2 linked regions of the Nothobranchius furzeri genome follow. The protein of the gene in region 1 interacts with the protein of each later gene in a pairwise test. Links are inferred from orthologs where the notes say so. Each region holds a gene or a part of one and is shown on either strand. Other genes may lie near its edges.

The links.
Region 2: the proteins of exoc5 (region 1) and rab4b interact in binary tests that used the Homo sapiens proteins (3 or more experiments, as listed by UniProt). The two-hybrid records come from large-scale screens. The link is inferred for Nothobranchius furzeri from reciprocal best matches to the Homo sapiens genes EXOC5 and RAB4B.

What each region holds. Positions count from the first base shown.
Region 1 is NC_091758.1:32,180,955-32,184,540, forward strand, and holds the end of exoc5 (exocyst complex component 5), read right to left. Parts: intron 2,244-3,586; coding exon 2,135-2,243; intron 1,975-2,134; coding exon 1,854-1,974; intron 1,641-1,853; coding exon 1,554-1,640; intron 1,479-1,553; coding exon 1,370-1,478; intron 1,282-1,369; coding exon 1,066-1,281; intron 987-1,065; coding exon 798-986; 3' UTR 568-797; downstream 1-567. UniProt on the Homo sapiens protein: Component of the exocyst complex involved in the docking of exocytic vesicles with fusion sites on the plasma membrane.
Region 2 is NC_091753.1:41,301,640-41,305,162, reverse strand, and holds part of rab4b (ras-related protein Rab-4B), read left to right. Parts: intron 1-1,632; coding exon 1,633-1,713; intron 1,714-2,310; coding exon 2,311-2,425; intron 2,426-2,622; coding exon 2,623-2,685; intron 2,686-3,381; coding exon 3,382-3,523. UniProt on the Homo sapiens protein: The small GTPases Rab are key regulators of intracellular membrane trafficking, from the formation of transport vesicles to their fusion with membranes.

The sequences.
Region 1 (3,586 bases):
CAGTCAGAATATGAAAAGGTGGTCATGTGTCTCTTTTAGGTTATTTTTTTTACACTAAACCAACAACAAGATGTCAGAAAAATCCATTCTTTCTTACCTAATTGGCTGTTTGGATTGAACTGAGCCATTTTTAATTCATGCCCTTTGATCAAAGCTTACACGATCAAAATGTTGGTTTCTACTGAAATGTATTCTAGACACACTTGTGCTTGAGTCATGTCGGACACTAAAAACTGAATTAGTAATAACTTATGGAAGTTTTTTTTACCTTAATGAATAATGTATAAACTTCTCCCTGCACAGATGTACATTGAGTACCAGAACTGGAAGTTTCTGGTACACCGGCATCATGGCCGTTTCTACCTTTAGGGAGATGAAGCTCGGCCTTTGTGTGTTCCCATCATGCAGTGCAACTGCAGAGCTCGTGTCTGCACCCTGGTTGTTGACAGTTTCCCTTTAAAACAACACCAGAGTGGATTCTTGTGCACAAGAGCAGCTGCAGGACTTATATATTTGGCACAAGCAAAACATATTTTTAATGTTAGCAGAGATATAATTACAGTTATTTTAATTATAACATGAATTTATGAACAATTGGTGTTTAAAAACAAAGGGAATTCTAATTTGATGGACATTGAAAATAAAAATACAAAATGCACATTTCCCACATTTTTAGGAGCCTACAAGCAGTCTTCCACTGCTTGTAGTCTGTGTGATGATGCATCACCTTGAAGGTGCATCTTCTCATCAAAGCTCATTTATCCTTGGACGGAGAACAGCGAGCGTTCCGGGAGTCATTAGCTGAAATGTCGACCCAGTCTGGCTGACCGGTAGTCCGCCCTGAGCTGGACAAAGGCGTGCAGAAGGTTCCGGTCCAGGTTGGTGAGCTGCTCCCCCGAGCAGACTTGCTTCAGGTTGTCGGGAGCAACCACCAGCAGGTTACAGAGGGCGTGGAGTGTGTCGAAGAGCTGCAGCACCAGAGGGACCTGAGGACGGAGACGTTACAGCAGATGCATTAAACTACAGGTGAAGTGAGCCAAGCCGCGTTCAAAGTTCCTCTCTCACCCTGAAGTCCTTGGCGCATCGTCGGTACTCGGCCACGTCGCAGATGGCCAACATGCCCCCCATGGAGCTGTAGCTGTACTGCTGTAAATGCTCGTGGATGAGTCTGTGAAAGCGCACCCCCAGCTCCGTCAGCACCGTGTCCACGTTTTTCCCATCCATGGACTTCCGCACGTGCTCCACCTGCCGACTGACGTAGGCACACACCTTGGAGCAGGCCTGCCGAAGGAACCAGGAGAATGGTTTGTATCATCAACAAATGTTTATCTTAAAACGATTCATTTTATTTATGGGGCGAGTCTCTCACTGAAGTGCACTGGATCATGACATTGTTCTCATCCTCAGGCCTGAAGTCCGTTTTCTTCTGCTCAGTGGTCAGGACGTGCTTCATCTGCCCCACCATGCAGTTCAGTGTTCTGTGTGACAGAAACGCAGATCAGAAGGTTTCCATTTACTCATGGAAACAGATTTTACACTATAAACACATCAACCTGTCGATTCCCGTGTCCAGTTTCACCTCCATCTGCTCGATCACTTCTTTCTTCTTGTGCAAACACTCCGCCAGCTTTGGGGAAGAGCTGTAGACGAGAGTGAATTCAAAGGCTAACCCCCTAATGAAAGCACTGCTCAAAAGTTAAGCATCACTTAGAAACTTCACTGTTTTTCATGGAAACACATAAAAGGGTCCTATAGTCGTGTTTATGTGCGTTTCCATGGAAAACAAAAACATTTCTTGGGTATTTGCTAAAGAATAAAGTACACAAAAACTAGAATGCTGGCTTGTATCCGACCTTATTAAAGGCATCAGCTGGTCATTAAACTGCTTGTCAAACAAATGGAAGATGGAGTTCGCCTGCTGAACCACGTCCAGGAAGTACAGGTTGGCATTCTTGGCATCAGATGAAGGAATCGCTGCAGATCAAACAGACGTGAGACCAGTCAGATCAAAATGTAGATGAAAGCATCATTTTTATCATTTACAGTAGGTGGACTCTTAAAAAAAATGTTCATTTTGAGAAATGATCTGGAAAGACCAGACGGACACATTCTGTTGTCACTTAGACGTTCGTACCTGCGAGGCCGATCTCCAGGGCGTAGTCGATGTGCTCCACACACAGATGTTCCACCAGCAGGAGGAAAATCGAGAAGGCGTTTTTGGGCAAATCAGAAGGATCTGAAAGCTGTTAAATAAAAAAATAAAAAATAAACATTTTTCCTTGAGATGCTCTCCACCAACGACCAATGAATCAAATATTATCTCAAAAAATAAAGTTTTAACCGCCTCTGAAGCACACAGTCCTGAAAAGACCTTATCCCCCTTCTAAATGATTGGATCATAACCCATCCATCATTGATCTGCACAGAACACTGTGTGTGCAGGACATGCTCGCACTCGGTGGAGCAGCCGAACAGGAAGAGAAGCTAGCTGAGCTGCTTTGGTGTCATGGACGAAATGTCCTGTTCCGTTTGCAAGTCTCATTTGTTTTACACATCCTGTTCAGAGTCTGGTTCTGTTCCTGTTGGGAAACGTTTAGGTGATGGAGGTTTTGTTTTGGGAATGAAGAGAAAAGTCTCAACTCTGCGTGGGAACGAGTGAGTGTGTGAGTTTATGTGTGCTAGGGCTGGGCGATGTGGCCTAAAATCAATGTCACGATATCCCGAGGATTTCACCTCGATAACGATAAATGTTCGATTTATTGCCTAGCCCTAATGTGTGCACTTCACCCTGAGCAGGCGGAAAGGACAGAGTTCAGTTCGTGTTCTAGAAGTTTTGTTTGTGCTGGTGGCAAAGAACCGTAGTGGTTTTGAATTTTAGAATAAACCAAGAAAGCTGAAAACTGGATTGTTTTTCACCAAAAAAAAAAACACCAAACGCCACAAAAGCTAGCATTCTAGTTTGGCAGAGGGGACACGCGGGAGGAGGTCTGCTTCGGAGTTGGATCTGAACATTTTGACCTTAGCAGCTCAGCAAACCTGCGTGTGTGTGTGTGTGTGTGTGTGTGTGTCACAAGCAGATGTTTTACCATTTTCTGACACCATCAGATTCTGTAACTCTAGGGGGGAGTTTGAAGAAAGGGATTGGTACTTAGATTTTTTGTTGTAGCTTGCTTGAATGCATTTTTCCAACAACACATAATCCATCTTTAAAGGCATACTATGCAACATTTTCCTTATTCTACATAACTCTCTCGAGCCAGTATGTGCTAAAATGACCTTTTACAGTGTTAATGAAATGCCACTAAGACCTCCACCGCCCTCTGTGGCCAGAATATCACACTTGCAACTTCAGAGTGCCGGTCCAGTCTCTGCTGAACTTAGTAAAGGGGAGCTGACATGCCTGGCACTGCAGTCTGCTTCCAACACGTTTCCTGTTTGTTTAGATCGTGAACACAGCTGATTTGTTTGATTTAGTGATGAATCACTCCTGTGGAATCTAATGAAGGCTGAGGAGACATTTCAGCAGTTAGATTATGGGGTTCAAAAGTCGACCGCAGAGCGACAGCGGCGCCCACAAGGGGTAGAA
Region 2 (3,523 bases), on another chromosome or scaffold:
GAATTGTTGTAATTCAGCTTTATTTCAGGGTTTTCTAGCATGAACCGCCTTTTTAAGGTCATGCCATAGCATCTCAATAGGACTCAGGTCAGGACTTTGACTAGGCCACTCCAAAGTCTTCATTTTGTTGTTCTTCAGCCATTCAGAGGTGAATTTGCTGGTGTGTTTTGAGTCATTGTCCTGCTGCAGCACCCAAGATGGCTTCAGCTTTAGTTGACAAACAGATGGCCGGACATTCTCCTTCAGGATGTTTTGGTAGAGAGTAGAATTCATGGTTCCATTTATCACAGCAAGCCTTCCAGTTCCTGAAGCAGCAACACAACCCCAGACCATCACACTACCACCACCATATTTTACTGTTGGTGTGATGTTCTTTGTCTTAAATGCTGTGTTACTTCTACGCCAGATGTAACGGGACATTTGCCTTCCTTAATATTGATGTGTAAAGAATGCAATAGCATGTGGAGAGGGCCAAGCTGTCTTATGCCTTCTCTATGGCTTTGACATATTGACAGCTGGATAGTTGTTTGCAGATCTCGTGTGGGGGGGTGGGGGGGGGGGGGGGATTTCTGGTATATCCTGGGAGGATTCTGAAAAGCTGAGGCAAGAAATCTGTTAACCTGGGAGTCTCAGTTCTTCTTCTGTGTGGTTGAGATGGTCATAGTCTCATGAAATTGACTTCTTGAGTTTGTGTTGCTGAAGAAAATCCTCTATAGAGGATAATGCACCAATCTGCTGGTGTGTGTGTGTGTGTGTGTGTGTGTGTGTGCGTGTGTGTGTGTGTGTGTGTGTGTGTGCGCGCGCTGATGGAGGTGCCTCCAAGGCTTAATGAGTTTAAATCTCGTGGAGGAGCTGAATAACAATCTGTGCAGCTAAACCATAACGAGATATTCTCTTTACTTGGTAAATCAGCATCTGTTTTTCCATTCAGCACTTCTCTGTGATTGTGTGCAAACCCAAGCTGCCCTTTGTCTTTATTTCCTCTCTGAAACAGACTTTCAGGAGGGAAGGTGTCCTTGCAAATGTAATTTGATCTCATGGTCTTATAAACATATCCTCTTTCTTGGTTTTCTTACTGATTCCACCTTAATTTTTTTTCCCATTAAACCTGACATGGCGGCTACATAAAACCCTTTTTCAAAGTCCTCAGTCACTTCTTTGAAAGAGTTTCTTACGCGTTTGTTCTGTTTTGCTTTTTTCTTACACTTCTTTCATAAACACATTAAAGCATCAGACAAAAATAACCAGAGCAAAAACAGAATGCAGTTAAATGATTATTTCATTTGTTAATCCAAACCAACGTGGCTCCTGTGCGAAAGTCACTGGTAAATCCTCTCATTAGACTCTGTCTGACAACAGAAAGGAGGCTAAATGATCTCAACACCACACCAGCTGTAAGGCATGGTGGAGGTGGTGTGATAGTCTGGGGCTCCTAATTCACACCAGACAAACATCGGGACTCATAACTGATGAAGGTTTTTATGATTCCAGAGCTCTGTGATTAGCTGGCTAATTTGAGTTTGGTGAAAGTAGTGGCTTTAACGGGATTAAGGGTTTATCTGAGGCTAAGGGCTGCACAACTACCACCTGTGTTTCTGTCGCGTTGACGTTCCATCTCTCATCTGCTCGCAGACTTCCTCTTCAAGTTCCTGGTGATCGGCAGTGCTGGGGCGGGGAAATCCTGTCTCCTTCACCAGTTCATCGAGAACAAGTGTAAGTCTCAACCCAACCCAGCTCATTTGTTCGCACATAAACCGACCAAACTGATGCTGTTGAAATGAAAACTTTAGGGAGGTACAAGAAGAGTGAATGACTGCTGAGTGGAGTAAATCTGTAACGATGTCTTGAACCGTGTGTGGGTCTAGATTTCTGACACTTAGAGCAGGTCATCATTAAATCGGTTCAGAGTTGTAATACTACTGTTCACTGACTCGACTCTTAACTTTCCATGTTTTTAAAGAAAATGCTGATTAAAATAATCCATCTGAGCAGTAATTTTATATTGTTGGGAGTACAAATACACTCTTGTGTAGTTTGGTTTAGTAAAAGCTCAGTTAAGTCCTCATTTTTCAGAACTGATCGTCACAGAGTCGGCGTTGGTTCCCAAGGCTGTAGACGTATATCTAATAAACCTGTCATTCAGGGCTCCGGGTGCATTTTATAGTGCATTATTTGATGTGTGAAACGTTAAAACTGTCAGAATGTTTAAGCTGGACCTTATGCTTCATTCTGTTACAGAGGGTGACACACAAATCAAACTTCCCCTCTGCAAAAGCATTTCAGTTTTCTGTGTTGTTTGTTTCCTCTCAGTTAAACAGGACTCCAACCACACCATCGGCGTGGAGTTTGGTTCCAGGGTGGTCAATGTTGCCGGGAAGACGGTCAAACTGCAGATCTGGGACACTGCGGGCCAGGAGCGATTTCGGTAACGGCTCATAATATTGCCTGTGAAGGTTTTGGCGACCTCTCACAGAAACATGATTTATTGAACCCAAATGGAGTCACGGTGTGATAGCTCTGAGAAATCCTGGTTTGTGATCACTTATATGAGCAGACAGGTTTGTTTTTGCCCTCCTGTGCTCTCCCGGCTTATTTTGCATCTTGTCCGTTTTCTTTTCGCAGCTCTGTAACTCGTAGCTACTACAGAGGAGCAGCAGGGGCGCTCCTTGTTTACGACATCACAAGGTAAAAAACCCTGGAATCATTTGCTGTTTATGACCTGATCCTGGCTTTCTTGTGACAAAAATAACGTTCGCCTTTGCATAAGTGTTCTCCAAAGTATGGCTCTTTCTCCTATTCAAACGACATATGAAATAATTTAGTCTTAGACAGAAATTGCTAATAATTTTAATTAGACACCCTCTCATTTTCACGACCATCCCTTTTACCATTTCTGTTCTGTTAGCCATTCTGACCTATAGGCTTCACAGCGTGTCCATAAGCAGTATGATTTAATGATGGGGGGGTCTGGACTGGGCAAACTCCAGCTTGTTATTGAGGAGTTGTGTTTTGAGTAATGCAGAGAGTAGCTGCTGTAGATCAGTGCAGAGGCGTCTGCAGGAGAGGCAGAGGTGGGCAGCAGGAGGCGACGCTTCAAGTGTTTACAGGGGAAAAAAAGAGTGGACAAAGAGTTACGTCAGTCTTTACTTAGTGAAAACAGCTGTTAAACATCCCTGTGAGGACCCCACACCCTTTTCTTCACCTCACTGACCTCATGTTACCATGGCAACTGGGGCCCTACTTCCACCAAAACCAGTGACTTCAGCCCAGAAATGTTTCCTTGAAAGTTCTGTGACTGTCAGGCTCCTATATAACAGTGTTTATGGTTATTAGCGTTATGTGTCGCCAACATTAAACACTTCTGTCTTTTCCTCCCAACAGTCGAGAGACGTATAACACTCTGACTAACTGGCTCACAGACGCGAGGACTCTAGCGAGCCCCAACATCGTAATTATTCTGTGTGGGAACAAGAAGGACCTGGATGCAGACAGAGAGGTGACCTTCCTGGAAGCATCCCGTTTT